Canis lupus familiaris: one gene and its partner. The protein of the gene in region 1 interacts with the protein of each later gene in a pairwise test. Links are inferred from orthologs where the notes say so. Each region holds a gene or a part of one and is shown in the gene's direction. Other genes may lie near its edges.

What was found.
Region 2: the proteins of ATN1 (region 1) and LENG8 interact in a two-hybrid assay, tested with the Homo sapiens proteins (2 studies listed by BioGRID and IntAct). The link is inferred for Canis lupus familiaris from reciprocal best matches to the Homo sapiens genes ATN1 and LENG8.

Annotation. Positions count from the first base shown.
Region 1 is NC_049248.1:7,975,021-7,979,364, forward strand, and holds the start of ATN1 (atrophin-1), read left to right. Parts: upstream 1-1,525; 5' UTR 1,526-1,630; intron 1,631-1,979; exon of another isoform or gene 1,980-2,027; intron 2,028-4,319; exon of another isoform or gene 4,320-4,344. Other genes in the region: ENO2 (gamma-enolase), read left to right, coding at 1-56. UniProt on the Homo sapiens protein: Transcriptional corepressor. Recruits NR2E1 to repress transcription. Promotes vascular smooth cell (VSMC) migration and orientation. Corepressor of MTG8 transcriptional repression.
Region 2 is NC_049222.1:103,607,502-103,611,063, reverse strand, and holds part of LENG8 (leukocyte receptor cluster member 8), read left to right. Parts: intron 1-554; coding exon 555-665; intron 666-1,722; coding exon 1,723-1,975; intron 1,976-2,192; coding exon 2,193-2,334; intron 2,335-2,607; coding exon 2,608-2,796; intron 2,797-3,066; coding exon 3,067-3,087; intron 3,088-3,193; coding exon 3,194-3,472; intron 3,473-3,562.

The DNA of each region.
Region 1 (4,344 bases):
CTTGCTCCCCTGTGCCATGTTCCACAGTCGCCACCACATCTGTGGCGTGGGAATGAGCACCACCATTAAAGTCTGAATCACAGTGCGTTGTTGTGTCTGAAGAGTCTTACTCTAGTCATATTCGGGGAGAGAAGATGGAGCGCCCACACCCGAAAGTTGGTGAACTCGGATAGCAGAGCTGGGGAGGACCCAAAAAGAGGAAGAAACTGAACAAGTATGGCTAAGACGATGGCACTGCCTCCCCTCCCTGGCCAGGTGGGGACCCTTGTTGCCCTCCTGCCTTCTCAGCATCAAGCCTGGCCCTGGGACCGGGGTGAACCAAAAGTTCTCCACCGAGATTTCCTAGAAGTGTCAAAAATGTGTGTGTGCATTTTTTAGGAAAAGGGGTGCAAACTATTCTCAGGTTCCTAGAGGGCCATGACCAAAGAGGGGATAAAGCTGTGTACTGGAAAAGCTCCCATCTAGGCCTCTCCCCAATGCAGTCTTGGTCATTCTGGGTAAGAGCACTGTGTGGGCATCACCCCCTGCAAGATGGGGACCCAGGGAGGGGAGTGGTACCTGGGGCTACAAAGGAGGGTCTGAGGAAATGGAATCTTCAGGAAACTGGAGAGTCAAAGCCACAAGTGTTGGGGTGGCCTTTGAGCAGGACCCCAGTGTGTGGCTGGAGATCCACTATCACTCTTCAGCTCCAGGGGAGCCCTGACTTTGGCACAGGGACCCAGGAACTCCCCAGGAGGAGAAACCCTCTCCTGGGGCTGGGACACGGAGCAGAACCCAGCAGGCAAGGGCTACACACAGGGAGCTGTGGCCACTAGAGGGAGGCAAGGTTCCGTGGGACGCCACACTCAGCCCGAGCTAGGGGTGTGATGGGAGGAATTTCAAGGTTGTCCCCTCTGTGGGCCTCCTAAACTGTTTCTACTCTGAGTTCTGGTCCTGGGCTCTCTGCCATCCTGCCCAGCTCCAGGACAAGGAGAGGATTTTCGTCCTGAATGGGCAGGACCCATGTCTCTGCTCTTCTTCCTGTGTCACTGACACCTCAGCCATTTTCAGTTCAGAGAGCTTCTTGCCTCTGCTCCTCTATGCCTCTTAATTTCAGGGTGGGCAACTCATCTTTCTCTTCCCTCCGGTCTCCTGGCGCCCCTTTCTGTTCCCTTTGGGGCATGCTTTTCTCTGTGCCTCTCCGTTTTCTCTGGGGTCCGTGATACCCATCTTTCTCCTCCAATTCCTGGACTGATCAAGCCGATTGTGATTGGAGCCGTATTTACTAACCTCTGCCCTTTCCCCCCACTCCTTGCTAGGTGGCCTCCTCTGGTAGCCATGCCTCCCCCCTCTCCCCCAGGTACTGGGTTGGATTGGGTTACAGTAGCTCCATCTGGGCCTCCCTGGCCCCTCTCTCCACTTTCCCTTTGTGCTGTTGCCTGGAGACCAGTGAGTTGTGGGGGGCTGAGGCCATAAAGAGAGCTGGGGTGAGGGATGGTGTGGGGTGTGTGTATGTGATGATGCACCCCAAAGCTGAATGGTAAGCCTAGTCCTCAGGCTGGGGAAGAATCAGAGAGGATAGGCCCTGGCTTCTCTGACTCTCCCTATCTTCTGTTCCTACCTTTGCCTCAAATTTTTCTTTTAGGCTCAGGTATGTCACCATCCTTAGCCCATCCCTCGGTGGTTAAAAAGCAAGAGAGAGCAGCTTGGCCTACAAGGGAGCTGGGAAGGGCCTGGGCCCAGGCCCAGTGGGAGAATGAGCTGAGATGTGAGGAAGGAGAGGAAATGCGATGGGGAATGAGGAGGAAGAGGAGGAGTCTTGGAACAAAGTTGTTGTGGGGTGGAGAGAGGGAGCAGGGGTCATCCTAGGGCGCTGAGGAAGGGAGGGCGGGAATCCCATGGAGGGGAGATAAGGAGCTGGCCAGGTCTCTGGAAGGCACTGAGGGATCAAGAAGGTGAAGCTGGGCTAGAAAAGTGAGTTGCCCACCAATTCAGCAGCGATGAAGAGTGGTGATTCATTGCTGGGCCAAGGTGGCCACCTTGCTCAGGTTCGTCAGTACTTTAGAATCTATTCAGAGCTTTTGGGTATTCCCAGAACTCAGCTGAGTCTGGCCCAAGGAAATATGAGGCAAAATCCACTGAGTTGCTACAAATCCAATCTCCATCCTTTCCAGAAGGATGGTGGGATCCTGCCATCCAGGGCCCATCCATCCTTGGCCTCTGGTTGGCTGGGCTCTGGCATTTGCCCTCTTCCCACCCCAAATCTGGAGAGCTGGTAAGAGCTCCCAATCCAGGCTCCAGCTCCAGCTCTTCCAGTTTCCCAGCCTGCTCCCTCCTATTCTCTGGCCTTCCCAATCTTAGCTGCCAAAAATCACCCAGCGTCTTGGTGTCCTTTGTCCTGGGAGATGTTGCTGCAGGGTGTGGGGCCAGGGAGACATCCCAGAAGAAGACACTGGGATGGGGTGCTGGCTTCAGGCTGAAGACTGGAAATGGCTGGCTGGCTGACAGTTAGGCTGCCTGGAGAGTGAGGAGGGTTGAAGGAAGAACCTGTGGTCTGGGGGTAGGGTGGGGATTGTCTCCACAGTAGAACAACTGGGATTGGGGAACCAGGAACCAGGACATCTAGGAGATTTGGCTCTACCTTGAGCCTAATCCCCACTGGGCCCCTTATCTGTGGCTCAGAGTACTGTCTGTGGTGACTTCAAACAGGTCTGAGAAGGAAAATTGAGACACCACCAGACAGAAGGGCCTGAAGATAGTGTCCCACTCCTATAAACGAATCCCTTCCCTACATGGGGGCTTGCCCTCCCCTGCTTCTATGGTTTCCTTCTACTGCTTTCCCTTCCCATCTCCACTCTTTGTCTTCCCAATCTCTGACCTCCCTCCATGGCCTTGTTTATCTTCCATTTCCTTCTAATCTTCTTTACCTACTTCCCCCTTGGCCCCCACCCCATTCTATCTACCTTTGTCTAGCCAACCGAAATCCTCCTCGGAAACCCCCACCCCCACCACCCCAGAAGTCCAGCCAGTGTCTTCCCCGCAGCTTTCCCACCCAGCACTCAGGCCTCCCTAGAATAAGTCTCCGGCCCCACCTCCTTCATGGCTTCTAAAAGTTCCTCACCTCTCCCCTTCTCTCCGTGCTGACCCCTCTGAACTCTCCTCAGCCTTCCAGCATCACCGCCCCCGCCCCGTTCTTGTGTTCCCTATTCTTTTCCCGACACCAATCGCGTCCAAACTACTCTCATGCAGAAACCCCATCCGTATATACAGATAGATACTAGATATAGGATATATGTATCTATATAGTATAGGATATGGGACTATAGATATAGGATATATGTAGATCTCCATCTTTTCAATTTCTCCCCCTCCCCGTGACCCTAAGCTTCAGCCCGCGTCTCCCGCTACAGGTCGGCCACAGGCGCTGTCACCCCCAGCTCCAGCCGCCCCTCCCGTCCCGCGCCTCCCCGCCCCCAAAGCCTCCGCGTACCCCGACAGGCCAATCCCAGCCGCACACCCACAGCCGCCCACGTCCTCCGTGCCTCGGCCCCCTCGGCCCCCTCGGCCCCCTCGGCCCCCAAACTTCTCCAGTCCGCGCCGCCTCCGCCGGCACAGCCCACGGCCCCTCCCCCGCCCTCCCGCTCCCCGCCGCCGGCCTCGGCGAACCCTCCCCGCGCCCCAACCCCCGCGGCCGGCCTCGGCCAAGTGGCGCGGCGCCGCCCCCTCCGGCTCCCCCGCCGCCCCCCCCTCGCGGCTTGCCTCGCGCTCCCTCCCTCGCGTCTCCCTCCCGGCCCCTCTCCTCCGTGCCTCGCGCTCCCTCCTTCTCCCTCTTCCTTCTTCTCCCATCCCCCTCTCCCGAGCGCCCTCCCTCCGCCGTCCGCTTTCCTGTGCGAGTCGCCGGACGCGCCGCCCAGCCCGCCCGCAGCCCCGCGTCGGGCCGGGGCCTCCGGCCGGGACCCGTTCGGGGGGCACCGCCGGCCGCGAGGAGGGGGCGAGGAGGGGGCGAGGCGGGGGCACGGCCGCCCGGGAAGGGGCGGGGGCCGCGGGCGGAGGCCGCCCGGGGGGCCGGGGAGCGCGCGAGTGCGGGCTGCGCGGGGCGGGCGGCGGCGGGCGGCGGGCGGCGGGCGGAGCGGCGCGGAGGGGGAGGGCCGGCCGGGGCCGCGGGGAGGGCGGCGGGGGCGGGCGGCGCGGCCCGGGCATTCCGGGCGGCGGGGGCGGGCGGGGGGAGCGGGGGAGCGGGCGGGCGGCGGGCCCGGGGAGGGGCTGAGCCAGAGCGGGGTCGGGTCTGCTCCGGGGGCAGGCGGGCGATCGGGGCCCGGTGGGGGAAGGGGGATGGGGGCCGCCCTCCGGGGGGGTCGGGGCCGC
Region 2 (3,562 bases), on another chromosome or scaffold:
AGTTGAAGGCCCTTTCTAGGTCCCACCTTCTCTGCTCTGGCCACTTCCTCTCCCCATGCTTAGTCTGTTACCCATGACGTCCACCTGTGCTCTGTGTCAGCTCTCATTCCCTTTTCCCACACCTCTCCGTGTTCTCACCGTCGTGGTGGTGGTGGGGGTGCTTCCCAGGTTAGACCTTTCTCTGACTGGATAAGTTAAAGCAGGGTTGCACCCCACTCCTTCTTGCTTTCACAGTGCTTGCTGCCAGATACTCTGTGTATCCATCTGCAACTGTGCACGTGTTTTGAGCGCAGACTTCATGAGAGGGTGGATTTTTACTGTTTATTTTTGGTTCTGTTGTAGCGTTTAGGAAAGTTGGCATTCGGTAAATATTTCTTAAATGGAGAATGGGATTGATAGAGTTTTTTGTTGTTTTTCTCATAAGAAGGATTTATGTAGTGGAGAAAGATAGGGGTAAGAGTGTGGAGCACAGAGGTTATGTCTGGCACCTGAGAGGGCGGGAGAAGGGGAGGGAGCTGGGCCTGTCCTGATCCTCATTTCTGTGCCTCTGGCAGAGCATGTACCAGAGCTATGGTTCCCCTTCCCAATATGGCATGGCCAGCTCGTATGGCTCCACCGCACCCCAGCAACCATCAGCACCCCAGCACCAGGGGACTCTGAGCCAGGTAACACCCCCACCAGCTTTGTGGCATGTTCAAGATGGGGAATGTAGTTTTTCTGAGTGGGTGAATGGTGGGGACCCCTGTATTTGTTACAATGGCTGCCTCTGGGTAGTCTCCTGCCTGGTGACTACCGATCTGATAACTGAGGAGGGCAAACTATAGTTTTTGAAACCAGGATGGGGGCACCTGGGTGGCTCAGTGGTTGAGCGTCTGACTTCGGCTCAGGTCGTGGTCCCGGGGTCCCGGGATCGAGTCCCACATCGGGCTCCCTACAGGAGCCTGCTTCTCCTTCTGCTTCTTCACCAGTCTGCCTGTGACTCTGCCTCTCTCCTTGTCTCTCATGAATAAATAAATAAACTTAAAAAAATGAAACCAGGATGGGTTTAGGGCTTGGGCAAGGCCTGGGAGTAGGTGTTGGGGTTGATGGTAGCTGCGGTTTGCAGTGTGGCAGCCTATCTTGGGAATCTTCTCTCAGTGCAGTGCACACAGACATGCATAGTCATGCACATTGTCTGGCCTTGCACTTAACGTGCAGCGTGGAGTAGTGCAGAGCTGTGCAGGGGAGGTGGAGTGACCTGGGCCAGAGTCCCAGCTCCCCTCCCTTGGTGTCATTACAAGTCTCATACCCTCTCTGCGTCTCAGCCAGTCCTGTCAAGTGGGAAGGATAACCACTTCTTCACAGGGTCCCCTAGAACGTGGGTGACCATATGTGTGTTTTGACCGGCATACAGCATGTGTTCAGACAATAACTCCTGGGTGTGTTGGCAGCACTCACTAGAGCGCTCACTAGTTGCCTAACTGAGGTTTAGATGCCTACTGCTGCCACTGAGTGGCTGGGGACTGTGGGAGAACATCTCAGGATCTAAGCTGGAGCCTTCTCAGCTCTGAAGAGGGTGGGCACTAAACCTCCGTTCCTCAGGGAGACAGTGCTTGGGGCAGTGAGATGTGGGAGGGTCACAGGACGGAGTTGAGGGCTGAGTGGTGCTGTGATCATGAGGACAGTGTGAGAGCCAGCACTGGAAGCTCTGCTCCTGCCCTCAGCACCTGCTTCCTCCAACAGCCCCCAGTCCCTGGCATGGAAGAAAGCATGTCCTACCAGGCCCCCCCTCAGCAGCTGCCAGCAGCCCAGCCCCCTCAGCCCTCCAACCCCCCGCATGGGGCTCATGCTCTGAACAGTGGCCCCCAGCCTGGAACAGCCCCAGCCACACAGCACAGCCAGGCAGGGCCTGCCTCAGGCCAGGCCTATGGGCCACATGCCTACTCTGAGCCTGCCAAGCCCAAGAAGGGCCAACAGTTGTGGAACCGGATGAAGCGTAAGTTGGAGGTGGAATTTGGGGAGAGAGAGGGCATAGGGGCTGCACCTTACAGAGCCAAGCGTGGGGCACTTCTGGGTGTGGTGCTCATTCCCTGGCTCTGGATGCAGTTGGTTTGGAGCCCTTCTCTAGAGCTTGGCGTCTCCCATTCCTGGAGATCAGGCAACCTGAGGAAGGCCACGGTAAGGTCTAACCCCAGCTCTTGCGGCCCTCACAGCAGCCCCGGGGACTGGTGGTCTCAAGTTCAACATTCAGAAACGGCCCTTTGCTGTCACCAGTCAGAGCTTCAGCTCCACCTCGGAGGGCCAGCACAGCAGCTTCGGCCCCCAGCCCAACCCTGAGAAAGCCCAGAACCACAGGTGATGGCCACCCCCTTGATCCTGTCCCAGCTCTCTCCTTCTGCTGTGCGTATAGTCCACTGGCAGGTTGTGCACCCCTCTGAGCCTCAGTCTGCCCCTCCAAGATGGGGAGGGGTTCCTCTTTTAGGGTTGCTGTGAGCATGAAATGAGAGGGGAAGAAGATGATGCTCGCATTGTTTTGGGTTTGTGTCTGCTTTGTGAGTGGTAGTGACAACCATCTTTGCTGGGGTGTGGGGTGCCGCCCAGCTGAGTCCCACGTCTGCCTTCACCCAGGGGGAGCCTGTCGGGGAAGCCTGATGATTGGCCACAGGACATGAAGGAGTATGTGGAGCGCTGTTTTACTGCCTGTGAGTCGGAGGAGGACAAGGACCGGACAGAGAAGCTACTCAAGGAGCTGCTGCAGGCTCGGCTGCAGGACGGCTCAGCTTATACCATTGACTGGAGCCGGGAGCCCCTGCCAGGGTTAGTCTAGGCCAGGGATGGGGAGGAGGGCGATTCTGGGTGCTGAAGCGGAGACCTGCAGACTTAGGTATCTGAAGCCCCAAGAATGAGCAAGAAAGTTGGCTCCCAGGGGTAGAAGGCCAGGAGGGTAGAGCTGAGGCCCAGGCACTGCCTGGTGGTGGAATCCTGGGGTGGGGTGAAGGCCCTGAAGCCTGGCGAGTGCATGGTACTCAGCAGCGAAGAACACTCTCTAGACAGAGAAAATCTTGGGTTTGCCTCCCATTTTTGCAGTGTGTTAGCTGAGTCGCCTGGGTAAGTTTCTTTCCTGCCTGAGGTGGTGTGTTCCTGGGGCGGCTGGCAGATGCTGGGGTTGGTGGAGGCGCTGGATTGGTGATGCCCTGCCCTGCTATATCCTCAGGCTGACTCGGGAGCCTGTGGCTGAGAGCCCCAAGAAGAAGCGGTGGGAGGCCCCTAGCAGCCTTCATCCTCCCAGGGGGGCAGGCTCAGCGACAAGGGGCGGGGGTGCCCAGTCCCAGCGAGGGACACCAGGGGCTGGGGGTGCTGGCCGAGCCCGGGGCAGCAGCTTCGCCAAGTTTGGCAACCGCAATGTCTTCATGAAGGACAACAGCTCTTCCTCCAGCACGGACTCCCGCTCCCGTTCCTCCTCCCGGTCCCCCACCCGCCACTTCCGCCGCAGGTGTGAAGAGTTCAGGGTCCGGGGTGGGGGGGGTGGGGCGTAGGGGCTGTGGGGGGGTTGAGGGGCATGGGTGGGGTCTTGGGGGGAGGA